7 linked regions of the Cricetulus griseus genome follow. The protein of the gene in region 2 binds, or shares a complex with, the protein of the main gene of each other region. Links are inferred from orthologs where the notes say so. Each region holds a gene or a part of one and is shown on either strand. Other genes may lie near its edges.

Evidence for each region.
Region 1: Usp39 (region 2) and Lsm8 share a complex: the UniProt entries of both Homo sapiens proteins name them as parts of the U4/U6-U5 tri-snRNP complex. The link is inferred for Cricetulus griseus from reciprocal best matches to the Homo sapiens genes USP39 and LSM8.
Region 3: Usp39 (region 2) and Lsm3 share a complex: the UniProt entries of both Homo sapiens proteins name them as parts of the U4/U6-U5 tri-snRNP complex. The link is inferred for Cricetulus griseus from reciprocal best matches to the Homo sapiens genes USP39 and LSM3.
Region 4: Usp39 (region 2) and Prpf31 share a complex: the UniProt entries of both Homo sapiens proteins name them as parts of the U4/U6-U5 tri-snRNP complex. The link is inferred for Cricetulus griseus from reciprocal best matches to the Homo sapiens genes USP39 and PRPF31.
Region 5: Usp39 (region 2) and Lsm5 share a complex: the UniProt entries of both Homo sapiens proteins name them as parts of the U4/U6-U5 tri-snRNP complex. The link is inferred for Cricetulus griseus from reciprocal best matches to the Homo sapiens genes USP39 and LSM5.
Region 6: Usp39 (region 2) and Snrpd2 share a complex: the UniProt entries of both Homo sapiens proteins name them as parts of the U4/U6-U5 tri-snRNP complex. The link is inferred for Cricetulus griseus from reciprocal best matches to the Homo sapiens genes USP39 and SNRPD2.
Region 7: Usp39 (region 2) and Prpf8 share a complex: the UniProt entries of both Homo sapiens proteins name them as parts of the U4/U6-U5 tri-snRNP complex. The link is inferred for Cricetulus griseus from reciprocal best matches to the Homo sapiens genes USP39 and PRPF8.

The regions. Positions count from the first base shown.
Region 1 is NW_023276806.1:207,804,434-207,808,590, forward strand, and holds the start of Lsm8 (LSM8 homolog, U6 small nuclear RNA associated), read right to left. Parts: upstream 2,801-4,157; 5' UTR 2,680-2,800; coding exon 2,649-2,679; intron 1,729-2,648; coding exon 1,688-1,728; intron 1-1,687. UniProt on the Homo sapiens protein: Plays a role in pre-mRNA splicing as component of the U4/U6-U5 tri-snRNP complex that is involved in spliceosome assembly, and as component of the precatalytic spliceosome (spliceosome B complex).
Region 2 is NC_048601.1:64,076,363-64,080,456, forward strand, and holds the start of Usp39 (U4/U6.U5 tri-snRNP-associated protein 2), read right to left. Parts: upstream 2,801-4,094; 5' UTR 2,768-2,800; coding exon 2,503-2,767; intron 413-2,502; coding exon 343-412; intron 1-342.
Region 3 is NC_048601.1:52,288,973-52,293,231, reverse strand, and holds the start of Lsm3 (U6 snRNA-associated Sm-like protein LSm3), read left to right. Parts: upstream 1-1,459; 5' UTR 1,460-1,588; coding exon 1,589-1,609; intron 1,610-4,105; coding exon 4,106-4,216; intron 4,217-4,259. Other genes in the region: Xpc (DNA repair protein complementing XP-C cells), read right to left, coding at 1,230-1,323. UniProt on the Homo sapiens protein: Plays a role in pre-mRNA splicing as component of the U4/U6-U5 tri-snRNP complex that is involved in spliceosome assembly, and as component of the precatalytic spliceosome (spliceosome B complex).
Region 4 is NC_048602.1:21,556,712-21,559,541, forward strand, and holds the end of Prpf31 (U4/U6 small nuclear ribonucleoprotein Prp31), read left to right. Parts: coding exon 1-44; intron 45-147; coding exon 148-220; intron 221-754; coding exon 755-883; intron 884-968; coding exon 969-1,067; intron 1,068-1,904; coding exon 1,905-2,030; 3' UTR 2,031-2,330; downstream 2,331-2,830. UniProt on the Homo sapiens protein: Involved in pre-mRNA splicing as component of the spliceosome. Required for the assembly of the U4/U5/U6 tri-snRNP complex, one of the building blocks of the spliceosome.
Region 5 is NC_048601.1:84,604,347-84,608,588, reverse strand, and holds the start of Lsm5 (U6 snRNA-associated Sm-like protein LSm5), read right to left. Parts: upstream 2,801-4,242; 5' UTR 2,725-2,800; coding exon 2,679-2,724; intron 1,760-2,678; coding exon 1,664-1,759; intron 1,386-1,663; coding exon 1,358-1,385; intron 436-1,357; coding exon 363-435; intron 1-362. UniProt on the Homo sapiens protein: Plays a role in pre-mRNA splicing as component of the U4/U6-U5 tri-snRNP complex that is involved in spliceosome assembly, and as component of the precatalytic spliceosome (spliceosome B complex).
Region 6 is NC_048602.1:28,213,612-28,217,708, reverse strand, and holds the start of Snrpd2 (small nuclear ribonucleoprotein Sm D2), read left to right. Parts: upstream 1-1,297; 5' UTR 1,298-1,451; coding exon 1,452-1,453; intron 1,454-3,560; coding exon 3,561-3,740; intron 3,741-4,097. Other genes in the region: Qpctl (glutaminyl-peptide cyclotransferase-like protein), read right to left, coding at 5-148, 519-728. UniProt on the Homo sapiens protein: Plays a role in pre-mRNA splicing as a core component of the spliceosomal U1, U2, U4 and U5 small nuclear ribonucleoproteins (snRNPs), the building blocks of the spliceosome.
Region 7 is NC_048600.1:88,943,112-88,946,611, forward strand, and holds part of Prpf8 (pre-mRNA-processing-splicing factor 8), read left to right. Parts: intron 1-246; coding exon 247-453; intron 454-561; coding exon 562-725; intron 726-841; coding exon 842-968; intron 969-1,075; coding exon 1,076-1,268; intron 1,269-1,689; coding exon 1,690-1,877; intron 1,878-2,044; coding exon 2,045-2,283; intron 2,284-2,476; coding exon 2,477-2,623; intron 2,624-2,800; coding exon 2,801-3,011; intron 3,012-3,500. UniProt on the Homo sapiens protein: Plays a role in pre-mRNA splicing as core component of precatalytic, catalytic and postcatalytic spliceosomal complexes, both of the predominant U2-type spliceosome and the minor U12-type spliceosome.

The sequences.
Region 1 (4,157 bases), on a different chromosome or scaffold from region 2:
AATATAGTAGACATATGTAGAACCAAAATAATCAAGAACTTAACTTGAAGGAAATACTCAGGAAAAATTTTGTGGCTATAGCAAAATGTAATATAATGAATGCTGTTTAAGTTTCTGAAGAAATAGCTTCTTTTAGATTTGGCTGGTTAATCTCTTGGGTACACCTTTAAACCCCCCTGTTCTGAAAAACCATAATTGTATAGAATCTGAATGAAATAAATAGAAACTTGGAATGTAGAAATTGGGAAGAAAAACAAATTAGACTATTTATTATAGCACTTGGCAAATGGTAGTTATCATAAACCCCTATAAAGGTGCTCTCATCTTCATTATATATGCAATTATTTTATCAGGTACGATAAAGACAGAACTACTGAGTGTCAATACAAAGTTTCTGTTTAGCTTTTCTTCTATAAGCATTTTCTAACAGAAATATAAGAAATTTAAACCTGAGGATTTCAAAAATCAGTTATTTGTAAATTATCTGATAAATGCAACAGACTTCTTTCAATGTTTAAACAAACATATTCCTAATTTCACATTCCAAATTGCCTACTGTTGACAAATTTAGAGTGTAAACTCACCACCACTAAACAAAAAACCTTAAGACACCTGTTTCCTTTATGGGTTTTGGAATAAAACTCAATTTATAACACACTTGTTATACTGAATCTCTGTGAAAGTAACTTGGTTTTTTTTTTTTTTTTTTTTTTTTCTAAGCCTGGTTCCTAATCTACAATATAAGTGATAATTCTTCTTGAGATTCCTTGCAGACTAAATAACACAAAATTCCTAGCATATGATAAGCACTGCAATTACTATGGCAGTCTATCACTTTGACTGGTGTTGCTCACTAAAGAGCAAGAAGAATCAAAGGGATTCAGAAGAAGATAAGGAGGCTGAAGAAATGGTTAAAAGTATATACTATTCCTCCAAAGGACCTAGTGTGGCTCACAATGGCCTGTAACTCCAGCTCCAGTGGATCTGACAACTCTTCTGGGCTCCTTGTGTAGTGTACCACCACACATGGCAGACACTAACAAACAGACATACACTCAAACCTAACTAAAAATAAATCTTTAAGAAAACAAAATCACGAATGGGAAAACATGGGATTAAATTACAGCCGTGAAAGAAATATTGCAGAGACAGTAGATGAGGCAATGGTCCCAAAGATCATACCCCAGTGAAGTCACAGCTAACTTAGTTTCTGAAACCACTCTCACAATATTTGAAGAACAATGAAATCACTGAATACACATTTCTCAGATTGGATCTCCCCATTGTTAAGCAACTTACAAGAGCATATGCATAATTTGTAAATCCTTAAAGAGCTCTAAATGAAAACAAACAAAAGGAATTGAGGTTAAAAAAAAAAAAAAGAATGCAAGAAGAAAATTAGTCGGCACAGCTCTGCATTCCAGATCAGAAGACTTCAAGGTTTATTAGGGAAGCTGTATTGACAGCCAAGAGATAAAAGTCTGTCAAAACAGCTGGATCTCCAGCATACATGCGGGCAGAACACTGTGTACTTTAAATTTAAACATTCTTAAAAAAATAAAACAGCTGGATCATAAGAACACTAGAATCGAGGTTATACCGTGGTACCTCAGCATTAGATTAGAAACGTAACTTCAAATTTACAATCAATAAGCCTACAAAGAAGCAGACTGAAAATGCCACTCACCACAATCATTCTCCCATCAGAAGTGATAACGGCGACGGTTCCTGAGAACTGCGTCAAGGAAAGTATTTCTTAGAGATTGCAGAGTGAAAACTTTCAGCCTGGTAAGGAAATGGTCTCAATTACTTAAAAAAGAAAAAAGTGGCGGTATGAAGGTTCGACACAGCCGCTGCTCACGAGGTACAAAACTGAAGGTTTGAAACTTGTTTCAATTCTATCCTGAAAACAGTAAATCTAATGGGAGAAGGGTAGAGTCTGACATCTGACCCTGGGTTTAAAACAGCAATGGGTTCCAATCCCTAACACTGAGAGATACAATCCCTTCCTTTCTCAGACCAATGTCTTCACCTCTGAAATAAAAACTGGACGCGTAACTATCAATGTTGCACCGTTGTGGCGCGTTAAGCCCCCTCCCCTAGTCCAAGACCTGGTCATAATTAATGCCACCAAGTACAAACAACCCTGGATTCCTTAAAAGCTCTCTGCTTTGAACGCCTGAGTTTCTTGTCTGTACCAGATGTGCTCGGTGCACGGTTTCTGTCCTGACTTTGCAGCAGCGCTTGTAATTTAAAATCTCACCTGGGATCTTAAGAGCTCCTTGCCTGTCACTGAAGCCCAACACGATTCCAGGCTTTCCTTCTAAGGGTATCGCATGGACACTTCCAGGGGGGGCCCGAAATTCACCTTGGAGAACCAAGCACCTTTCTATGCATGCGAGCCTCGAGCCAACCGCAAGCCCTGAGAAAACCGGTCCAACTTATTCCCGACGCTGGCCCGCACAAGCCCTAAGGGATCTGCAGCAATCCAGCCAAAGGCTCCTTGCAGGGAAGCTGTGCCGGGTGAAAAGGGCCCGGGTCTGTCCGGATGACCCCACCGCCGGTCCCGAACCCCGAGTCCTCCCCGCCGCCCCGGGTCTCCGCCCCCGCCCCGCCCCGCCGCGGCCTGGGCAGCCGCCCGAGGATACGGTTGATGTAGTTCTCCAAGGCAGACGTCATGCTGCTGGGCCCGGAGGTCCCGGGAACAGGAGACAACCCGGCAACAAGGAGACGAGACACGGCCGGGCCGCCAGAAGCACGTACCGGTTCCCGCCGCCCGCCCGCCCGCCGGTGAGCACAGATACCGCGAGACCAACGAGTACCTAGCAGCCAATCGGCACTCGCAAGGAGCCGACCAAACCGGAAGCCGGGCGGGGACTGACTCGCGCGCGTGCGCAGCGTGCATCCGCCGCGCTTCCGGGTGCCGGTCGGTAGAGGGAGACGGACAAAGGCGGGGACGGGCGGAAGTGTGGGCTGGATGCAGGCGCTGGGAGGCTCGCCAGCGGAGGGGCGGGAGCCGCGGTCGTGTGGGAAGATCGGCTGTGCCGGAGACGCCCTAGATGAGATGTTTGCTCGTCCTTGGGAGGAAGGGAGCTCTAGCCTTCTCCAGCGCGAGCCAAAAAAAAGTTCCGAAAGACAAATGGCGCGGTGCAAAGCGAACGTCTTTGTAGCCCGCACGAGGTGCATTTCCAGGGAGAGCCCAGCTATCAAAAGTGCTCGTGCATTCTGCTTTTGGCTCTTCAGGTGTCACGAAGCAGCCTTAAGGAAACGAACTCCAGAGAGGGAAAGGTGTGCGCGATAGATGGTCACTTTGCACGGCTAAATCGAGGCTTAGCTTTTCTTGGGGATGAAAGTTGTAATTAAGAAAGTCTACATTGCCACTCTGAAGGGACCGATTAGAGGAAAGCGTAAACTAAGCACCAGGCTGGGTTCTAATTCTATCCCTGATAATTGATGTCCCTGTTGTAAAGTCACTTAAACTCCTCTTGATCTGATTTCACTTAGATGCTGTACAAATGTGTTAGTCAGTCAACCGTACATAACCAATATTTTAAAATTTTAGTGTGTGTTGAAAGGGGAAAATTAATAAAATCTAAAACCCAGACTCCAAAGCCCAAAAAGAAAACTCAGTTCCCAAAAAGCAGTCCAGCAGACAAGGTTAAACAAAGGGCCTCAGGACTCAAGCCCTTAGACCAGATATCACACCCTAGAATGGCACTCACATTCCTCTGGTCCAAAGAGGATCAGATAGTTATCAATTGTAGAAGTCCCCAGCCCAGGAGACTATTAACAAACCCATTTCCTCTGCAGTATCCTGCTTAATTAAACCTTGCATGAAGCATAACAATCTTTGTCCTGTCCTGTGTAACTACTGAAGTTATGTAATCTTGGGGCTTCCAGCCCTACAATTTTCCCTTTTAAAAACACCCCTCAGTCGAAAGTGGGTACTCCTTTGTTCCCAAACGAATGGGGTCCTTGCTGCAGCTGGTGTCCTTGAGTCAATAAAGAAACCTTTATCCTTGCATTTGGTGAGTCGTCTTCTTGTTGGCAGGTTCTTTGGGGATTCCGAAATCTGGGCACAACAGTGTGTGTGTGTGTGTGTGTGTGTGAGAGGGGGGGGGGTGAGTCGTCTTCTTGTTGGCAGGTTCTTTGGGGAT
Region 2 (4,094 bases):
TCCAGGGCAGCCTGGTCACAAACTGAGGTCTAGGACAGCCAGAGATACACAATAAACAAACACCCTCACTTGGCCACTTTAAAGGGACAACATGAAAGAACGTGGCAAGAAGCACCATTTTCAAGACAGAAAGGCTAAAAAGGAGAAAAGTTTGAATGAATTGTTCACTGCTGAGTTTGGAGAATTTTCTACAACATTTTTACCATATTCTGTATCTCAAATCTACTGATTTGTTTGTATGGTAATGGGAATTAAACCTTGGATCTCTGACATGTCAGGCTAAGTACTCCACTGCTGAGATATGTTCCCAAGACTTTTCCTCATCCTCTCTGTATCACTGACCTGTTAATGGTATCCAGGTATGGGCAGTGACGACTCCTCCGGTCCTCAGAATCCACTCGGCCATTCTTTGCTGAGAAGAAATCCATCACAGACTTTAAAATGGAAAACTTGTGCTGGGATGTAACTCAGTGATAGAGCACTTAATTAGTAAGGGCAGGATTTGCTCTTACACAGCATCATAAATGGAGGACAGCAGACTACTCAAATCACAAGTACATTTTGTTTTGTTTGTTGCTATTTCCCATGGATATTTCCCATGGAAATGGGAAAATCTGATCAACTAAGATTAAGATGAGCTTTTAATTTTCTTGTAGTGACAACATTCCAAAAAAACTGCAAACTGAGATTAGATCTATTACACACATAACCAACAAGAGATTAATTCACATATTACATAATCTAAGCAAGTGAAGACTGCTTAGTAAAGGTATTTGCCACCAAATCTAATTACTAGAGTGCATGGGAGCAAGAGAGAAGAACTGACTCCCACAAATTGCCCTGTAACCTCCACATGTACACCATAGTACATGCACACGTATATATAAATAAATGTACTACACCTTTTTTTTTTCACCATGTGTGGTGGTGCACACACTACTAATCCTAGCCCTTGAGAGGGAAAGACAGGAGAAATCTGTGAGTTCAAGATCTACAGAGAAAGTTCCAGGCCAGCCAACACTACTTATTAAAACCCTGTAAATAGCCAGGCGGTATAGCTTCTATCGTCTTTAATCCCAGCACTCAGGAGGCAAAGGCAGGCAAGATCTTTGTGAGTTCCAGGCCAGCATGGTCTACAGAGAAGTTGCAGGACAGGCTCCAAAGCTACACAGAGAAACCCTTTGTCGAAAAACAAAGCAAATAGACCCTATAAATAAATAAATAAATAAATAAATAAATAAATAGGGGCTGAAGATATGGTTCAGGGGTTAAGAGCACTGACTGTTCTTCCAGAGGTTCTGAGTTCAATTCCCAGCAACCACATTGGTGGCTCACAGCCATCTGTAATGTGATCTGGTGTCCTCTTCTGGCATGTACTGTATACATGATAAATAAATAAATAAATAAATCTTTAAATAAATATCTAATGAGGTGCTGGGTAGTGGTGGCTCATGCCTTTAATGCCAGCACTCAGGAGGCAAAGGCAGGTGATCTCTGTGAGTCCAGAGGCCAGCCTGGTCTACAAGCTAGTTCCAGGACAGCCAAGGCTACACAAAGAAACCCTGTCTCAAAACAAACAAAAACAAAACATAACCCAATATATCACAAGTATTAAGATAAGTTGAACATCTTAAATCTACCATTTGTCTAAGAATTGTGATGGTTCTGAGAGTTAATCCTACTAGCAAGCTGATTTGTTAGCTTGCCACAGCTTCATGATCACTGATGGAAGGCATGTGATATCACTGACTAAAACCAAGAGTCTATTAAAGCAATAACAATAGCCAATGACATGACATCTTCACCAGTTCCTGGATTCAAGTCACACAAGAGAATAGAAAGAGCCAGTGCTCAAACTGGGTTGCCTTATTAAAAAACCCTGCCCTTAAAGAAGGGTATCCTATCTGCTTGTGAGTTTACGTCCCTTTAGCTCTATTATGGAATAATAATACAATCTGTCTCCCAAGGGTAGTCACTATATCAACATCCTTGACAAAACAATACAGAACCCCTACAACAACCTCCTGCAAAACCCAGGAGAAGCAGAATTGTCTCCAAACTACTGAACTAATAGTCAGTACTTTAATCGGGTGCAGAGAGATCCCGGCTGAACGAGCTTATTCCAGATATTACAACAGGACCCTGCATCTTAGGAATTTTGCAAAAACTGTAGAGGGGAATACCTGTAACGCTATCAGCAGAGCACCTAACTCACGTGGGCTATTCGACAAAGGGGAGCCGTGATGTATCGTGACAACGGTTAATATTAGAACTGTCTTCACCTGAAGACAGTCCAGTCTGGATTCAACCTTGGACAGGGAAGCGTAAGAAGCAAGGGAAAGTAAAAAGCAGGCGAAAACTGGCAGGAGGTGAAGGCGAGAGGAAGGTTATCTCTGGCTACAACAGCAAGTTCCTGAGACCCTGTCTCAAAAAAAGAAAGAAAAGGGAGAAAAGAAGAAAGCAGGCGAGGGTGGAGGGCGCACCCGGCCCGGCCCCGCGCACCTCGCACCTCCCGCTCGGGCTCCGAGTCCTCGTCGGCCTCGCGCTCCCGCTTCACCCTCACGGCCGGGGGCGCAGGCGCCGGGACCTCTCGCGCAGTCGGCTCGGCTTCCCGCTTCACGCGGACCGGACTGCCCCGAGAGCTCGCCGCCTCCGGCTCCCGCTCGCGGTCTCGCTCCTTCTTGATGCGACCCGAGCTACCCCGCGACTCGGACTCGCGCTTCCCGCGGGTGGAACCATGAGACTGCCGCTTAGACCGGCTAGACATCGCCGCCACCGGCTAGGAGCTTCCGCGCTGGCGCCGCGCACGCTGGAGGCACGCGGCCAATCAGGAACCGAGCTGGCCTCTGACGCGCAGCTCCCTACGAGTCGCTGAGAGGGACAATACAGACGGCTGGACCCTAATGGGCACTACTTGCCCAGTTGAGACAATTCTTTATCCATCATCTCTTCACAGATTAAAGAGATAGGAACCTTTCACAGGCTACAGTGATTGTAGAAGAAAGGAAGCTGGCATTCGACACAGTTTGTGTCTCGAAACGACAATCCAGAGAAGTCCTCTGATCCAGAGCTGATGACCTACACAGAAAAGAGAGTCAGTATTCCCAAATTTATCTCCTCCATTCAGGTTTGTACCTGGGAACTTCAATTAGTACCATATTTAGAGGGATCCTGAAATTAGAAAATTGCAAATACTCTGCCAAGGCTCACTTACTGTTTAGCTAATAAAACTCCAAATTCAGTTTTACCACTGAGGCATGCCTTAGTCCCTGCCTATTTGAACAGTTCCATTGAGGTATAATTGACATACAGAGTACCACATATTTGACGAGTGTAATTAGCTAAATTCTGAAGTGTGAACACTTGTGAATCCATTGCCATAATCAAGAGAAGAAACTTGTCTCACTCCAGAAATGTCCTTGTGCCCCTGTGGATTCCCACCCAAACCACTGGGTGACTGCATTTCCTAGAATTTTATACTCGAGAGTTATACAGTGTTAACTTTCTAACTTGGCCTCTTTTACACCTGACGTACAGACAATCTATTCCTTTACATTGCATTGCAATATTCCATCACACAGTTGTACTAGTACTAGTCTGTCACTGTTCTAATAATGAGTTCCTGATTTCCACATTTTGAAACAAGGACTTAAAAAAATATAGACTCAGGCTGAGGCAGAAAGATTCCCAAAGTTTAAGGCCAGCCTAAGCTACATAGTTAGGCTGAGACTATCCTGAGCTCCATAGCAGAAGGAAAGAAAGAAAGGAGAGATGGCTCAATATTATTAGACCCTCAAAAGCCTTGGCTCCTCCCATGGGCACAGTTAAGCAAGTGGTCTGGGCCGGGACAGTGAAGCCCCAATGTGGCTGGAATAGGGGCTGGGTATGGGTGGAGAAAACTTACCTACCTGAGCACTTGTCTGCCTCATTACCTATATGAGACAGGTGTTCTTAGTATGTCCACTTGAAAATAAGCAAGCAACTGGGAAGATGGCTCAGATGGCGAGAATGCTTACTGTACAAGCATGAGGACCTGAATTCAAATCCCAACACCCACGTACAAAGCCTACAGTAAGTAAACTGGGTGGCGCACG
Region 3 (4,259 bases), about 12 Mb from region 2:
TCAATTCCCAACACCGAAATGGCAGCTCACAACCTTTTGTAACTCCAGTTCTGGGGAATCCAACACCCTCATCTATTTAACATCTGCAGGCATGGCCCACACATTGTGCACAGACATGCATGCAAAAAACATATGCATAAAATAAAAAAATAGTAAAGTGTTTTTTCAGAGATGTAAACAAGAGAAAGAACAAAATAGGTTAAGAAGGGAAATGAGCTTTGTTTTTATGAAGCTTACATTGTACTCAAACAATCAGAAATGAAGATGACTGTAGAATGATAGGTGAATAGGAACATCACTGTGATTCTGTGGTGGAGGATACCTAGGAATGACTACTTTAAGATGACCGTGGAATGTCTTAGACCTCAAGTAGAGAAGAAATTAGACCCAGCAACAGCGACGGAGAACATTCTAAGGCAAAGAAACATGGAAGGCCAAGCCTCCAGATAAATAAACAGTATATTCAAAGAAGAGAAAGGCAGTCACCAAGAGCCATCTGTAATCCCTGTGATCATGAGGATGAGACAGGAAAAACCCAGAGCTCTAGGCCGGGCTGCTGTTTAAAATAAGAATATCTGGAAGAGAGACATGCTAAGTGAGGTAGATGCTATACACGGAGAGCACACATCTAAGAAGGTTTTAAGTAAGAAGACCAAGGCATATGAAGTTTTGTTGTCGTTCTACATCACTTGGCTGCTGGATGGAGATCTGATGTAGAGGGGAACTCACTCAACTAGAAAACGACAGGAACAGGATACCAGCTATGAAATTAAGAGAATTAGGCACATATTTCAGTGACTCCGAAGCTGAACTGGACCTCCTGACGAACTAGCAGTTAAGAAAAGGCGTGTTTTAACAGGTGGGTGAAGGAGTGATTTATTGAGATGGGAATATTTTAAGCTTCTCCTTGGTTCAAGACCAAGGTAAGAAGCGCATCGCAAACCTGGGGCCGGAATTACAGTGGATGCAACTTGGAGAGAGATTCTCACACTACAAGGTCTCCCTCTGTCCTAGTTTTGGTGTCTCTCTGACACCGGGCAACAGGGAAGCTTTTTCCTGATCGGCCCTCAACACTTGCCAAGAGGCTGGACTTGGTCCTAGGGGTTACGGTGGGGTCAGGGCTGATGGTAGAGGCCCTCGGGGCGCCGCGCATCCGGCCGTGGAGACCTTCCGCCCCGCTGCCCGCCCCAGCCTCCGCCACCATCGCCTTGCGCGCCGCAGCCTCTCACCCGCCTCGCTCTCCTCCGGCCGGGCTGCTTTGTTGTTCTCGGCTTCTCGGCCGCGCCCCCGCCGCCTTCCTCCCGCAGGGCGCTTCGGAGCCATGCTGCCCGGCAGCGACACTCCGGGCTACCGCAGCCAGCCGGCCGCAGACACTCTCCGCGTGCTCGCCCCGCCCCGAGGCGGGCCATGCCTGGGCCGCGCCCCCTGACCAGGTTGGGACCACGCCCTCCGGAGAAACCCCTCCCCCTGCAAACTACAGGGGCGCAAAGGGACAAAAATAAAGTAGGTCTACTTCCCGAGAGTGGAACCCTTTGCGTTTCTGAGTGCCTGTTCTCGCGAGAGGTGGAAAGGGCGCAGCGTTTGAAACATGGCGGACGACGTAGATCAGGTAAGTTTGTCCGGAGGCGCTCTTAGAGGAAGCGCTTGCGCTTCCAGGTCGGGTTCGCGTTTTCCACGCTCGCTGAGAAGCGGCCCGTCTCTCTTTGTCCCGAGGAACCACGGCCTTCCGTAGCCGCGCCGGCTCCTGAAACTTCCGCAGGCCTAGAGTTTTCTCAACCCGCCTATCTGCCCATCACGCTCGGCATCGGCTTTTATCTGTAAAATGCAAACGGCTGTCGACACCAGACAGAAAGCGTGAGGTAGTGGTGGACACCAGCTTTGTAATACGTGCAAGCGCCTGGTGCGCAGGCAGCGGCTCACTTGGAGTGCAGTAGGAGGGAGGGAGGGAGGTAGAGAACCTGGTGGAGATGTAGTCTGGAGAAAGCAAGCCAAGATCGGGTGCACACAGGATCACAGGCTGCCCTCTTCACCTGCTCTTCCCCCTATTCCTTAGCTACCTGTGGAGTTCCGAAATGATTGCACTCCCTCACACGCACACGCACCCACACACGGGTATTTAAAATAACAGAGCATGTTATTTTAAATATGTATTTCTTTATCTGAGACATTTCTTCCATAACTAGAACGTAAGTTACTTAATAGGGGCATTGGGGCGGGGGTGGCTGGAGAGGTTGCTTTAGGAGTTAAGAGCACTTGTTGCTTTTGTAGAAGACCATGGTTGGGATCCAGCACCCACATGTTGGCTTAACAGCACCCCAACGCATCTTAACTCCAGTTGCAGGAGGGGATCCTCTGCCCCCTTCTGGCCTCTGCTACCGAGCACTGTGTCAGCGTGTGGTGCACATGCATACAGGCAAACTGCTCACATACACGATAAAAGTAAACCTTTAAAATAAAGGGGGGTTTTCTGTGTTTGCTTTTCTTTCCTAGGTTTAGGACAGTGCTGTTAGCACTCAGCAGGTTATTAGTTGAGGGAACGAACCCAATGTTCAGGGGCAGCTTCTTTGAAAAGGCAGAATGTAAAGCTTACAGGGTGAAAAGGATTGACAGTGGCCATCCTAGACTGAAGAGGGCTGTCGTGGGAACAGATTTCATTGTTTTGCAGCTATGTATTTATATGCCCCTCTCCATACTAGAGTGAGCTCCATTGAGGGGATGCGGCTTCTGTATTGTTGTAATCCAGTGGTTGGTTGTCTGATTTCTTAACAAAAGCCTGCTGAGCTAAGGTGGGAGGAGGAAAGCACCAGTTGAGATCCGGGGTTGGGGGTGTTCTGGGAGGGTTGTTTGTTTCCTGTCATCAGCCTCATATCTACACAGCCTACAATTTTCAGCTTTCACTGACCCCAGGTACTCACTGGAGAAGCTTGCTGAATGGTCTTACTAATTCTTGATGGCTGGAACCACCTCTTTCATATAGCTGAATCCAGGTCATCCCAGTTCTAACCTTTGAAACCTGTTCCAACAGTTCTTGAAGAGTAATTCTGATTTATCATTCCTCTGAAATGACTGACCAAGAATGCATTCTTAAATCTTGAAGCAAGCAAGAGATTATATTAAATATAAGAAATTACAGGTGCTGGGAGTGGGGCTGGTAAGATAACAGGTAAAAATGCTTGCAGTTTGTAAGCGTGACAACCTGAGTTCAATTCCTGGGACACACAGAGGAAGGAGAGAACTTTATAAAGTTGTCTTCTGACAGCTACTTGAACCCCATCACACACACACACACACACACACACACACACACACACACACACACACACTCTTAAAAGTTCCAGACTCGGTTCATACCTGCCCAATCCCAGCATCTGAGAGGCAAAGACTTGCTGCTCATCAAAGGCTGTCATGGGCATGCCTCTTAAAAAAAAAAAAAAAGGTAATTATTTAGAAGTGTTTCCTTTTTACTTCAGATAGACCCTTTAGTCCTTATAAGATCTCTGAGGCAAAGATGTGGTCTCCCCAGTTTGCAAATGAGGAGTCTGAAACAAGAAATGGCATGATTTTTAATCCCAGTTCAGAAGAGCCAGGTCAGAACCCAGAATTGAACAAAGGCTTCCTAATGACTCAGTTCTTTTAACTTCTATACTATACTACTCGGTAGGTAGGTTCATCTTGCCAGCCAATTAGCACCCTAAACTTAACCTGCGCTGTACTGACTTCAAATTCTGTCAGATCTTTTTAGTAGTGTGTGAATAGGTATTGCAGGTATGTTTTTCAAATGATTGAATTATACAAAAGATAAAGCTAAGGTTCCTAAGTGGTACTCTAACACTTTGGATTTTTTGGAAGTTCAGTCATCATTTTGCTACTTAACTCCTCTCCACATAATGTTTTTCTCCTCTTTTACATAGCATCGAGGCACCGTTCTAAGCTTTCATATGTCATTTAAAATAATAGTATTGGGGAGACACTATTTTCTGCATTTGGCAAATTAGACTAAGGTATAAACGGGTTATGTGACTAGCCCTTGGTTTCACTGCTTAACAGTGATTGAAACACCACTCTGCCTCTGGTGGTCCATTACTAAGTGTGTTTCCTTCATCAGCAACAGACTACCAATACCGTAGAGGAGCCCCTGGATCTCATCAGGCTCAGTTTGGATGAGCGAATTTATGTGAAGATGAGAAACGACCGAGAGCTTCGAGGCAGATTACATGTAAGTCTTTTAAATTATCTCAAAACCAGATGTTTCCCTATCA
Region 4 (2,830 bases), on a different chromosome or scaffold from region 2:
CCTGCTCCCCTTGATGGGCAGCGGAAGAAGCGAGGGGGCCGCAGGTAAGGGGCTCTGGTGGCGCTAGAAGCTGGGAAGCGGGGTGGGAGGGAGGCTGGCACCTTCCCAGCCGACTTCCTATGTCCTGTTGACTCTCACCTTCCCCAGGTACCGCAAGATGAAGGAGCGGCTGGGGCTGACAGAGATCCGGAAGCAGGCCAACCGCATGAGCTTTGGAGAGGTCAGGCTTGCTCACAGTAGCAGTGGGACCTTGAGGGTTCTCTGCATGTCCTGCTGCCATCCCTCCCCTCCACCCTGCAACCCTAGAGCAGATCTGGGGCTACCCCAGCCGCATCCCTCCTGCCTAGCCTCTCCTCTCAAAACACCCTACCCCATGGAGATCTTTGCAGTTCTGAGCCCGCTGCCCTCCCACCCAGCTCCCCATGCCACCGTGTCTAACCATCATCCAGGAGGTCCCGAGAGAATCCACTTAGGCGCCATCTCAGTAGCGCAGCCCATCCCAGTTCTTGGCAACTTAACCAGAGCTTAGGGAGCAGTGGCCACTCTCTGTTTAGGTCAGGAAGCAGTTCTTCCTAGGGTTCCCTGCTACATCCAAGCAGAGCTAGGCTGGGCTCTTACAAGGTCATTTAGTGCAGTGAGTCCTTCAGGCATCCGTGAGACCTGCTGATTGGAGACTCCCTGGGTCCCAGTGGACAGGCCTGGGGGACTGGCCGAATGTGGCCAGCTTCTTAACAGTGGTCACTCCCCTCTCTAGATTGAGGAAGATGCCTATCAAGAAGATTTGGGCTTTAGCCTGGGCCACTTGGGCAAGTCAGGCAGTGGGCGTGTGCGGCAGACACAGGTGAATGAGGCCACCAAGGCCAGGATCTCCAAAACACTGCAGGTATGGCCAGGGCCCATGGGAGTGGGCGGCAAGGAGGGCACGGAGGTCTGTGAGCCTGCGTCATGGCCTCCCCCTCTCCCTGCAGCGGACCTTACAGAAACAGAGTGTGGTATACGGCGGGAAGTCTACCATCCGAGACCGCTCCTCAGGGACTGCCTCCAGTGTGGCCTTCACTCCACTCCAGGTACCACACCCTCTCCTACCAGGCATGTAGTGGGGTTGTAGCAGCCCTGTTGACCTAACACATGAAGAGCTTAGGCATCCGGAGCCACAACTCAGTGCAGATGGCTGGCAGTGAGAGCTGTCACAAGCTCAGACCAACTTTGGCACTGGACTCTGTCCGTGTGGCCCAGATACTCTGAGCTTCCTGTCCTCACTTTGAGATAGCCCCAGTCGTCAGGGTAGCCTCAAGGTGGGTCCCAGTGTCACAGCCCAGTGGCCCTGGACAGTATGAAGCAGAGTGGCCTCGGGTTACTCACCACAGAGGTAGGCAAATGTGTCCGGTAATGTGACAAGCCTGCTAGAATGCATACTCTGAATCTGTGCCATCTTTCTTCCCGGCTTCAGGTATAGTGATAAAGAGACAAGCTGTGCCTTTTGGGGGGGTCATGGGTTGGAGGACAGATGAACGAGTCAAGTATATACTGTATTAGGCCATGGGTGCCAGAAAGCAGCAGCAGGGGTGAAAGGCGAGTGCCGGCATTGTCATCACTGTATGGCGTGAGAGTCGCCCGAAACTCTGGCTGGTCATGTCCCTGTAAGACTCAGTTTCCTCATCCAGAATCAGACAGACAGGAGTGGTGTTTTTTTTAGCATCACCTGAGGACGTTAACAATGCTGATACCCAGGCCCTGCCCCTAGACCCACTGGGTCAGAATCTCCCGAGCTGAGGGAGACTCCAGGGGCTGTCAACAGTTCCGTGTCCGCTAGAATGTTCGGGGAATGTGACATGTCTGGTTCCCATACAGCAGGGAGGCCTGGGCCTCCCCACCTTACCTGCCCCCCTCCCTTCCCAACCCAGGGTCTGGAGATTGTGAACCCACAAGCAGCTGAGAAGAAGGTGGCAGAGGCCAACCAGAAGTATTTCTCTAGCATGGCTGAGTTCCTCAAGGTCAAGGGTGAGAAAAGCGGCACTATGTCCACCTGAAGGGGCCAGGCCCCGGGTGGCCACCCACTGGAAGGACATGGACAACTGGAGCTTTGAAGTGACCGACCTCCGGCAAGGAAGTTGTGGTGGAGGCAGCCTGCCCTGCTCTGTCCTTGGCCCAAGGCCAGAGCATCCAAGAAACGGGGTGAAGAGCCTCGGCCCGTCTCCCCAGAACCCAGACTGCTGCTGCCCCAGTTAAATGGGCGGAGGTCTTCCTCACACTCGTCTTTTTTACTTACATGGGTAAAGGAAGTGGTTTTCTAGAAAGAGTACAATTAAATGCACAGTGTCAGGCTCTGACCAGAGGGTGTGATTATTTGTGAAAGACCCAGAGGAGTCAGAGCTATGGGGTTTCCAGTCCAGGTATCTCTTCTGCTCCTGTCCTGGAATCTAAGAAGAGAAAAGCCCCGTCCATTTCTGACATCACCACCCACCCCCTGAGAACCTCAGCATCACGGCCAAACAGTATGGCCACCACAAAGCTCCAGGGCCCAACAAAGGTCATAGGATTATTGTTGACCCTCAGGCTAGATGCCTCCTTGGTCCAAGATCCACATCTGCACGGTGAGGCACCTAGGAGACCTGGGGAGTGTGTGCAGAATGCACCCAGCACCGGGCTGATTGGGGAGCCAGTGGTTTTAATCCATGTTGACTGAGGGGGCCATGCCTAAGTACCCTGCCCTGGGAGGCACAAATGCCAGCCAGGTAAGCAACAGAAACCATCTTTGGTGTGTTAGGAATCTGTGATTCTGCAGGTTAGCAAGAGTCACTGCTGGGCTCTGTTTTTCCTAGCTTGAGCT
Region 5 (4,242 bases), about 21 Mb from region 2:
ACTATCATACCACCTAAAACTCCCCATGTGCTCCTCATGGACCAAAGCCACCACTGTCTCTCCCCTATCCTTCAATTCCCATTTCCCAGATCATCAACATCTGCTAGTAATCCCAACATTAATTGATGCTTAAGAGTTTCAACAATGGTTCCTGATGAACTAAAGGTAATAAAGATTAATAAGCAAATGAATCTTAAGGCCCAATGCTCTTTCAATAGCTGCGTTGGGGCACTGATCACTGAAGGCTCCCTTCCCATCCTCAGCATGTCTAGACCGTGAACACTGAGCTAAGCAGCAGTGTTCTGTAATCCCTGCCCTATAAAAGTAATTAAATTCAAAATAAAACAGCTTTAATGTCTTACCATCGTTATATTATTTCCATTTAGTAAAATCTGATCTAATTTTGTAATCCTTCTTCCTTCTGGTGTAATTTCACTAAATAGATAAAAAATGGAGTCAGGATAAACAAGTATTCAAAGGCAATTATTTTGGAAACGCTTTTCCTCTCTAAAAATTATTCCTGGGGTAAAGAGGTTAGCTCGGTGGCAGAGCACCACCTGGGTGGCAGAGCACAAGGCCCTAGGTTCAATCCCTAGCATCAAAACTGTTATTCTTACATATGAATGAATGTGAACTCATACAATTACAATAATTTTCAGCAATACAGTCTGCCCACCAGATAATAGTTATGTAAATATAAAACTTCATAAATACAGAAGTAAATATAAAGATATATTACAAAGATATAATATAGAAGTAAATGTAAAGTCACTATAAAGCGTGTTTACACTAATTTCTTAGAAATTCAGGAATAATGACATTAAGATAATAATCTTCTGGCCCAACCTCACAAATACCGGTAAATAAGTCAGCATTAAAAGAATTCCAACAGGTAATACTTTATCCATCATACTAATCCTGCTATTGTAGTTTAAATGAAAATGGCCTCCACGGGCTCACGTTGACAGAACTGTTTGGGAATGGCTAGGAGGAGTGGCCTTGTCTGAGGTGTGTCACTGTGGCGGTGGGCTTTGAGGTTTCAAAAGAATAAATTATAACCAGTTGGCTCTCTGTTTGTCTCATGGTTATCTCAACATAGAATCACTTAGCTATTGCTCCAGCCCCACACCTGCCTGCCTGCCTGCCTGCCTCCACACACCTCACCATGAAAAAACGTGGACTCTAACCCTCTGAAACTGTAAGCAAGCCCACGCAGTAAACGCTCTCTTTTATAAACTGCCTTGGCCATGCTGTCTCTTCACAGTAACAGAAAAGGAACTAGGGTACCTGCCTTTAATTCAAAAAGATATTTCCTCCTCTCCTCCCCCATTTATTTGTCATTTTTAATACTACTCACAACTCTGTGACATCTTCCAACACCATATCTGAAATTTGTTGTTAAGAAAATAAACAAGGTTGAATTTATTCTGGTTTATGTTTTTGTTTGGTTGCAAAAATGTTCAACACAATGGTGCAAATTCAAAAGGTTTGTTGTTGGAGAGAACCCTATCTGCTTTCTGCAAGCACACCTCTTAAAATGTTACCAAGTTCCTGGAAAATAAATAATTTTTAATGTAATAAACAGAAATATGTCATCTGTCTACAGCTCTTATATTAATACATCTTTAAAAACCTGTTCCATGAACACTTTTTAAAAGGATACTGACAAAGTCATCAAATCCTAGAAGTGTACCAACAATTTCTTTATCACTCTTCATCACAATGTGAATTCTTGATCCTATACACTTGTCCACGAGCTCTGTGGAAAGAAAAAGATTGTTTTACCCACTTATTAGTTCAACAAGCATTCGAGTGCTCACTTTACTATTTCCGTATCATTAAAGAGAAACAAAAAGCAGTCACTAAATAACTACATCTTACACAAATCTCCGCTCAGCCATTAGCACAAATGTTTGTCTTGGCCTTCGCTTACCTCCTTTTTTGCTGCAACTAACGGGACTGTGATTTTGACTATTTGGTTAATGTATGAAAAACAATTACACCACAAGGTGGAAACCATGTTAGTTTTTCCTCATCAGTGTTTCTGCCGATGAACATACCCTGGAGTGGACCCTGCAAGAACTTTCCATCATTGCCACATTGACTAACTTCACCGGCGCCAAAACATGACAGAGGAGAGGCCTCACGACCGACACCAGCTTCCTGTCACTTCTCTCATCTTGCCTTTAGCTCTGTGCTTGGAGACCAACCTGAGCATCTCCGTGGCCAACCGAGAACTGCTCGGCACGAAGTCTTTCAGTGTGCTATCTGAAAGCAATGGCCGTAGTTTAAATTCGTTATTCAACAGTACCCTGGCACGGGGAGGGAACTGCTTGATGGATGGATGAATGAATGAATGAACGAACGAATGACGGAGCTAGTCTCCAGATTTCTTTCTAGGAGTCACTGTAGACCGTGGCGCCCTCCTCACACCGCCAAATGCAATACAGGGGCTCCCTAAGGTGTAGACCGGAAAGGCCACACTGCGAGCTGGGCCGGCACCGGGACATCTTAACCGGCGAGCTCACAAGCAAGGCCGAGGGCGTCCTTCACCAAGTGGGGCCCCCGCCGGCCGCCGACAGACAACGGGCTCGGTCTCCGCAGCGGCCCCAGGGGCAAGCCTCCGGCGCGGGCGTGGGGCCGCAGCAACCCGCCCGCGCCCCGGGCGAGACTTTTACCTAGCGGCAGGAGCTGAGACGGGTTGGTGGTCGCGTTAGCCGCCATGGCCACGCCGGAAGTGGCATAGGGCTACGGGCGCAGACTTTAAAAGAGCGCGCTTCCGCCCTTTCCCACAACTGGCTCAGACGGAACTAATCGGAGGCAGATCTGGCGATCGCGGGGTATCCAAATGGATCACCGACAGACTCGATAGAATAGTTCCGCACTATATCGGTGCCACCATCCCGTGCCCCCGAAGTTTTGCTAACTTGACAGTTTGTCTCCTCTATATCTGCCTGAAGACTACAACATACGAGATCTCTGAGTCGGCTAGTTTTCCTCTAAAAGGTTGGATCTTTCTTCAGAGCCATAAAATCAATGAGGATTTGCTATCACCAACTCGTTCTGCGTTTGTCTCAACTACTACTCATTTTCTTAAGGAATCCTGTACTTTTAAGCCTAGAGTACTGAAAACCCTTACGAAGCATCTTTTAAAAATATTCTATACCGAGTATTCAAAGGTTTTTTTTAATTTTTGCTACTTTATTTTATTCTGGTTTTTCGAGGCAGGGTTTCTCTGTATTGTTTTGGGGACTGTCCTGGAACTCGCTCTGGAGACCAGACTGGCTTCGAACTCACAGAGATCCGCCTGCCTCTGCCTCCCCAATGTTGGGATTAAAGGCGTGCACCACCAATGCCCGGCTTCTTCTTGTCCTTTTAGAAGTCTAGTTTATTGCAGGCTTTTGCAGTTACTAACACTTATTGATTTACAGGTAACTGCTAGATGTCACTCCGTATGTTGGTGTCATCACATTTGGAAAACATGCTATCACACTTGTGTTTTGGAAAAAGATAAAAAGCTGCTGTGAGGAGTGGCCAGCAATCCCAGCGCTTAAGAAACAGAAGGAGGCCACAGTTGCCAAGCATGGACAACTTAGTAAGACCCTGACACGAAATAGGAAATAAAAACTAATGAGAGCTTAACCACCTTGCTTAGCACTAGAGTGCTTTCCTAGCATTCATGACTTCATGAGACCTGGGTTGTCCCTACTTAAAAAGAAAAAAAAGCAGCAGGCAAATTCTTTAGCTTCGGTTGTCTCATTTGTGTCTGAGGGACTTAAACAATCTGAATAGGAGAGATCATAATCAACACCATTCATTTTTACAGTGTTTGGTAAGCACCCCTCATACACCGTTTAATTAGCAGCTCGCTGGGTATATAAAGCAATGTACAGAAAAGTCTTCTACAAGAGTGAGTGAGAAGAAGGACAAATAAATTGTATGTATATAGCACTATGAAGTTTAATAGATAAAGCAATGCCTCTAGGGATCCTTGGAAACTCCACTCCATTCTCAATTTCAAGCCAGTGGTGGCTTTTCCCCACAAACCCCATTCCATAAATCTCGTGTACCTACTAGGTGTCGGGGCAATTACAAATACATTCTTTTATTTTGGTTTTTCAAGACAGGGTTTCTCTATGTAACAGCCCTGGCTGTCCTGGAACTCACTTTGTAGACCAGACTGGCCTTGAACTCACGAAGATCCACCAACCTCTGCCTCCCAACTGCACAAATACACTCTTT
Region 6 (4,097 bases), on a different chromosome or scaffold from region 2:
TTACCTTTCTCACTTGGAGATTGCCGGGGCTACCCGGGGGTCGCACAATCAGCAGGGGACGCAGGAAAGTGCCCCAGAGACGCTGCGGATCCAGCTGCCCTACCACCGTCCGTAGCTTGGCTTCCGGAAGGCTTCCAATCAGCGGGACCTTGGTGGGGAAGAGAAGAATGAAGACAAAACCCCCCATCCCCACCCTCTCCTGGGCGCCGCTGCCCCCTGGGAGCCCTGACTCTTCTTGGTGGTGCAGCAAAGACTTGGAGTTCACATGCATACACCCTAGAGCGGGAGGGCGTCTTCAAGGCAGATCTGGCCCCTGCTACTATTAGAGCCCTGACGGGAACCTTGCAAACAGATGTCTTGGGGCGCGGAGCTCAGATCTGCCCGCGTTGCTAGGCTGACCGCCTGCATCTCCAGGACGGCGAGGCAGGGGCGTGCGCTTGCTTGAGTGATGGAGAAAGAGATGTCACCCGCTCGGCACGGGAAACGGAGGAGGGACCGGGGCCCCAGGCAGGCCTCACCCGCAGATCCCGGCTGCGTGACAGCTCCTGAACCTCGGGGTGCCAGCCGTTCCAGACCATGAAGAGCGCCAAGCCCAGGGCGAGCGCCAAGAGCAGCAGGGGCAGGAGCTGCACTCGCGGCAGCAGGCGGCGCTTGGAAAGCGAGGGCGGCTGCATCGCGCCGCGATCCCCGAGCCGCTGCCGGGGCCGCCCGCGGCTCCCGGGACTCATGGCAGCAGCGGGGCCCCGAAGCCGGTCGTCCCAGACTGAGGTTTGAGTCCAGGCCAGGCTCCGCCCCTCCCCCCTATCGCTTACGCAAGCCAATAGGGAAGCAGAGCGGCGGCGGCATCGTCGCGCAGACGGCCGCGATTGGCTCCTTCTTCTCCAGAAGGCGGTGCGCAGACCCGAGGGCCCGCCCCCCACGCAAGAGGCGCAGCCAATGAGTGGCGGCTGACCGTGCGGAAGCCGCGCCCGCCGCCCTCAGGTGTCCATCAAGGAGAAACGGGCGGCGCCCATCCCTGAAGCAAGGAGGCGATTGGCTCGCTCGAGGCCACGCCCCCCCAGGAGGAGGCGGGCGCCGCGCGCTTGGAAACGGAGCTGTGTGTCGTGTCCCCGCCTCCTCCCCGCCCCCGTTCTTCTTCCACCCAGACGGGGAGTTAATTCGAGCCAGGCCCGGCGGCTCCCCCTTTTTGTTTAGTCGCGAGCGGGGGGGTCCCCCTATTGTGATCCTCACTGACATGGAATCCTCCCTCCAGGCATTTCCTACGGCAGAGAGCCGCCGCCGGGTCGCTATGGCAACGTGACACGCCCACGCCGCTGGGGCGGGTTGCGCAGGCGCCGACGGAAGTGATCCCAGAGGAGGGAGGCGGAAGTCCCGCCTTCCGCTCGCTCTACTCCGGAGGCTACACGGCAACGCGGCGGAGGCGGGAGTGAGCTGCGATCGAAACCTCCACCATGTGAGGCCGGGCTGGGCTCCCGCGGGGACGCGAAGGTGGAGGGAGGGACGCGGGCGGCTTAGCAGGTGGACTGTCGGCTTGGGGTGCTCGTAGCGGGGGCAGAGGTTCCTCCTGAGGTGTTAGGGGACGGGCGTGGGGCCTGGAAGGACGGGTCTGGAGTTCCGGAGCCGGACAGCTTCTTCTTTCTTTTCTTTCTTTCTTTCTTTCTTTTTCTTTTTTTTTAAAGTTTATTTATTTATTCATCATGTAGACAGTGCGAGCCAGAAGAGGGCACCAGGTCCCATTATAGATGGTTGTGAGCCACCCTGTGGGTGCTGGGAATTGAACTCAGGACCCCTGGAAAAGCAGTCAGTGCTCTAACCTCTGAGCCATCTCTCCAGCCCCCCTCATTTTTATTTTTTAAAGATTTATTTATTTACTTACCATGTATACAGTGCGTGCCAGAAGAAGGCACCAGATCTGGCACCAGATCTCATTACGGATGGTTGTGAGCCACCATGTGGTTGCTGGCATTTGAACTCAGGACCTCTGGAAGAGCAGTCAGTGCTCTTAACCCCTAAGCCACCTCTCCAGCCCCCCTCATTTTTATTTTTAAAAGATTTACTTATTTATTTACTTACCATGTATACAGTGTGTGCCAGAAGAAAGCACCAGATCCCATTACAGATGGTTGTAAATCACCATGTGGTTATATTTATTTATTAACCATGTATACACTGCGTGCCAGAAGAGAGCACCAGGTCTCATTATAGATGGTTGTGAGCCACCATGTGGTTGCTGGGAATTGAACTCAGGACCTCTGGAAGAGCAGCCAGTGCTCTTAACCCCTGAGCCATCTCTCCAGCCCCGACAGCATAACGGGCGTGGGACCCTGCTCTGTACTGAGTCTTGTGAAAAGAGCTGTAAGAGGAAAGCTGAGCCTGGTGGCACATGCCCAAGAGAGGCTGAGTGAGGCAGGAGGATGGTGAATTCGCGCCCAGCCTTGGGCTGCACATGGAGACCGTTTCCAAAAGTAATAGTAATTTTAAATGGGAGCCGTAAATGGATAAAGGTCTCGGCAGGGGAAGGGAGTTCTATTAAAAAATAGTGAAAGGCTCTCCAAAAAAAACAAACAAGCAAAAATCATAATGAGGGACTTAACCAGGATAAGGTAGAAAACAGACAGGGGGGCTTTTTCAATCTGCCTGGAGACTCTCAGAGTAGCAAGCTACTGCCATGGTTTGATGTGTTTATTCACCAAGCAGGTGTTACACAGACTGGTTGTTAAGTTAGACACACGGTGTATAAAAGGTCCGTGCCACCGAGAGAAAGTTTTTCTCACTGGGGCTGGTAAAAGGAATGGGGTAGGAAGACCAGAGAACGTGTTAGATGATGGAGAGTGCGGATGAAGAAATTTGAGTAGCTACCACAAAAAAAAAAAAAAAAAAAAAAAGACTGAAAATGCAACACTGGGCTGGAGTTATAGCTCAGTGGGCAGAGTACATGGCTACCTTGGGTTCTGGGTATAGTGGCAGCATGCCTGTAATCCCAGAGGTCTGGAGGCAGAGATGGATAGTCTGAGTCTCAGGTCAGCCAGGGTTACACAGTAAGACATTGTTGTGGGGATGGCGGGCACCAGGAGAAAGGTAACGGAAGATTAGGCCATGGATAGAAATAGCCAGGTTCTGGATATGTCGTAGAGGCAGATGACAAGATGTGAGGGTAGATTTCCTTTAAGAGAGTGCCGGGCTTGATGTTGAACTCCTGTAATCCCAGAACTTGGGAGGTGGAGTCAGGAGAATTGAGAATTGAAGGTCGTCCTTAGTTATATAGCAAGTTCAAGGCTAACCTGGGCTATAGGAGATCCTGTCACCAAAACAGAAATCAATTAAACAGTAGAGTTCTAGCTTAGAGAACCCGCTGAATAGAGTTGCCATCAGTGAAGACGTGGGGAATGCGTGGGTGGGAGAGGTTTTGGTGGTTAGACAGCTGGAACGGGCTAAATAGACAATGTCTCTCCCACCTCTGAAAAGGACATTTGGGGACCAGGTTGAGGAGACACTGGACAGTGCCTTTGATCACTCACACTTCCAAGCTCACCCATCTCACCCGTGGTTTTTCTATTCAGGAGTCTCCTCAATAAACCCAAGAGTGAGATGACCCCAGAAGAGCTGCAGAAGCGGGAAGAGGAGGAATTCAACACTGGTCCCCTCTCGGTGCTCACACAGTCGGTCAAGAACAACACACAAGTGCTCATTAACTGTCGAAACAACAAAAAGCTCCTGGGACGGGTGAAGGCCTTTGATAGGTGAGCACTGAGTCTGAGGGGCCTGAAGGAAAGGTTATTCCAGAAGCATAATGATAGTAAGTTGGTGACAAACTCCTGTAATCTCAGCACTCAGAGGGATCACCATGATCATGTTAGAGGCCAGCCTCCAAAATAAAAAATCAGAAAGTGTGGGGTGCTCTTTTTGTTGTTTTTTTGTTTTATTTTGTTTTCCAAGACAGGGTTTCTCTGGCTTTGGAGGCTGTCCTGGAACTAGGTCTTGTAGACCAGGCTGGTCTCGAACTCACAGAGATCCACCTGCCTCTGCCTCCTGAGGGCTAAGATTAAAGGTGTGAGCCACCAACGCCCGGCTAAAATTTGTCTTATCTGTCTATCCCA
Region 7 (3,500 bases), on a different chromosome or scaffold from region 2:
TAGGCTTTCCTCTGCCTCCAAGAAGACATAGCCATTCATCTTCCTGAGGTTAGGATTAGAGTACCTTTAGAGGGCCTTCCACCTTCTATTACCCCAACCCCTCCTTTCTTGAGGTGGTTTCACTGTGTTGTCCTGGCTGACCTGTAACTCTGCAGGCCAGGGTGCTCTCAAATTCAAGAGATCTGTCTGCCTTTATGCTGGGACATGGGCGTGAAACTTACTTTTTCATTGTGTTTGTATTTTCAGGTCCCAGGCCTGCCAACACCTATAGAGAATATGATTCTTCGGTATGTTAAGGCCAAGGCTGATTGGTGGACCAATACTGCTCACTACAACCGTGAACGAATCCGCCGTGGGGCCACTGTAGACAAGACTGTTTGCAAAAAGAACCTGGGCCGCCTCACCCGCCTGTACCTGAAGGCAGAACAGGAACGGCAGCACAATTACCTGAAGGTTGGACCAGCTGGGCTGGGTGGTAAAGTGGGTTGCAGAGTGGAGATCATGCTTTGTATTGGTTTGGATGATAGTGGGAGACTAGCTTCATTCATGTTCACCTTGCAGGATGGGCCTTACATTACAGCAGAAGAAGCAGTGGCTGTGTATACTACCACTGTGCATTGGTTGGAAAGCCGTAGATTCTCTCCCATCCCATTCCCTCCACTCTCCTACAAGCATGACACCAAGTTGCTCATCCTAGCTCTGGAACGCCTCAAGGAAGCTTATAGGTAAGGAATGACTGGGAGGGTAATAGGGAATGGCATTGTGGCCCGAGTCCAAAGAAAGGTGTAGTCCTTTTGCAACTTCTTGGGTTTTCTCATTCACCTTTCCTTTGCTTTGTTAGTGTGAAGTCTAGGTTAAACCAGTCTCAGAGGGAAGAGCTGGGTCTGATCGAGCAAGCCTATGACAACCCCCATGAGGCTTTGTCCCGCATCAAGCGTCACCTCCTCACGCAGAGAGCCTTTAAGGAAGTGAGTGATGCTCCCTGAGCCTTTTGGTCTGTGCTATTTATCCTTGGCATCTAGAGGATGCCAGGCTGGCTGGTGAATTGATGTGAACCAGGTTTCTTGTCCCACAGGTAGGCATTGAGTTTATGGATCTCTATAGCCACCTGGTGCCAGTGTATGACGTGGAGCCCCTGGAGAAAATAACTGATGCCTACCTGGACCAATACCTGTGGTATGAAGCAGATAAGCGCCGTCTTTTCCCACCCTGGATCAAGCCTGCCGACACGGAGCCGCCTCCACTGCTCGTTTACAAGTGGTGCCAAGGTAAACTTCGCTGCAGTTCCCACCCAGCAGAGAAAGGTGATTCTGTCCATGTAAAAACTCTGACCCAGGCTGCACATTCAGTTTGCTCTCTTTGCGTGGTAAGAATGAGTGCTATTGCCTGGCACTGGTGGCACACACCTACAATCCCAGCTTACAGGAGGCTGAGGCAGGCAGATTGATGAGATCAAGGCCAGCCTGGTCTACAAAGCAAGTTCCAGGACAGCCAGAGCTATACAGAGAAACCCTGTCTTGAGAGGGGGAAAAATGAATAGTGTGGATGTTGAGCAAAACTGACACTTGTAGCAGCCAGAATGAATGAATGGTAGAGGGTTTTGGAATGTGTTGAGACTGCTATAGTTAGTTACTAAACCTGGAAAGGAATTTCTAATCTGCTAAACTCTTGTCTTTTTGCTTCTTTTAGGCATCAATAACCTGCAGGATGTGTGGGAGACCAGTGAGGGCGAGTGCAATGTCATGTTGGAGTCCCGCTTTGAGAAGATGTATGAAAAGATTGACTTGACCCTGCTTAATAGGCTGCTGCGACTCATTGTGGACCACAACATAGCTGACTACATGACAGCCAAGAACAATGTTGTCATTAACTATAAGGTCTGTCTTGGAGCAAGTAGCAAAATGTGTCAGGGGGTTTGTCTGACCCATCGAGTTAGGATTTGCTGAGGCAGAGTGAAGGAGATTGGACCCTGAAGCACCTGGGACAGAGCCAGTCTTAGCCATACTAAGAGTTGTGCGTTTTTGTTTTTGTTTTTTTTTCCTAGGACATGAACCATACAAACTCATATGGGATCATCAGAGGCCTGCAGTTTGCCTCTTTCATTGTACAGTACTATGGCTTGGTGATGGATTTGCTTGTATTGGGATTGCACCGGGCCAGTGAGATGGCTGGGCCTCCTCAGATGCCAAACGACTTTCTCAGTTTCCAGGACATAGCCACTGAGGCTGCTCACCCAATCCGACTCTTCTGTAGATACATTGATCGCATTCATATTTTCTTCAGGTAAAGAACATGGTCTGATCCTTTAACCTGCATGTCCTCACAGCACTGAGGCATGTCCTGCCTGTGAAATGGCTCTTGTAGCTTAGTTGACTAGTTGCTGAGTTGAAGCTATGAAGTGAAATGAAGTCTAGAGTAGCATAGGGTCCCCACTTGTGGAGCTGGCATTCTCAAAGTGTCCCCTGTCTTAATGTAGGTTCACAGCAGATGAAGCTCGGGATCTGATCCAGCGTTACCTGACGGAGCATCCAGACCCCAATAATGAAAACATTGTTGGCTACAATAACAAGAAATGCTGGCCCCGAGATGCCCGAATGCGCCTCATGAAGCATGATGTCAACTTGTGAGTCTCAGTTGGGCTTGTAGGAGTAGAAAGAATGCCAGTCCTAGGGACCCAGAAAGCAATTAAAATTGAGGAGGTTATATCTTGGGTAGGAGGAATATGGGCCTATCTTCTGTCTGGTCTATGAATGCAAGTGTCTTCAACAGACTGAAATTCTTATTTGTTCTCTGTGGACAGGGGTCGGGCAGTGTTCTGGGACATCAAAAACCGGCTGCCACGATCAGTGACTACAGTACAATGGGAGAATAGCTTTGTGTCTGTGTACAGTAAAGACAACCCCAACCTGCTGTTCAACATGTGTGGCTTTGAGTGCCGCATCCTGCCTAAGTGCCGTACCAGCTATGAAGAATTCACCCACAAGGATGGGGTCTGGAACCTTCAGAATGAGGTACAGTCTAGGAAGGACATCACTTTACCACCCTTGTAACTCTGGCATCAATGGGGTGAAAAACAGTCACACCTTTTCATTATCAGCTCAGTGACCCTTAGGTGGGTTGAGCTTAGTAGTGATCACGATTAATCCTTGCTTGTGTAGCCCTGGCTGGAATTTACTTTGTAGACCAGACTGGCCCTGATTGTCTCAGAGATCAGCCTGCCTCTGGCTCCACCTCCCACAGGTTAGGATTAAGGCATGTGCCACCATTCCCTGCTATTCCCTTTTTATTTTTTCTTTGAGACAGGTCTTACTGTTCAGTGATGGCTGACCTGGAATTTTATATAGACCAGATTGGCCATGAATTCACCAAGATCCTCCCTGGAATCTGCATTCTGGGATTAAATGCATGCATACCATGTTAGCTTTTCATCTTATTTATTGCCTTGTTATTTTTGTGGAGTTTGGAGGACAGCTTGTAGTTAGTTCCACTCTGTGGGTTCT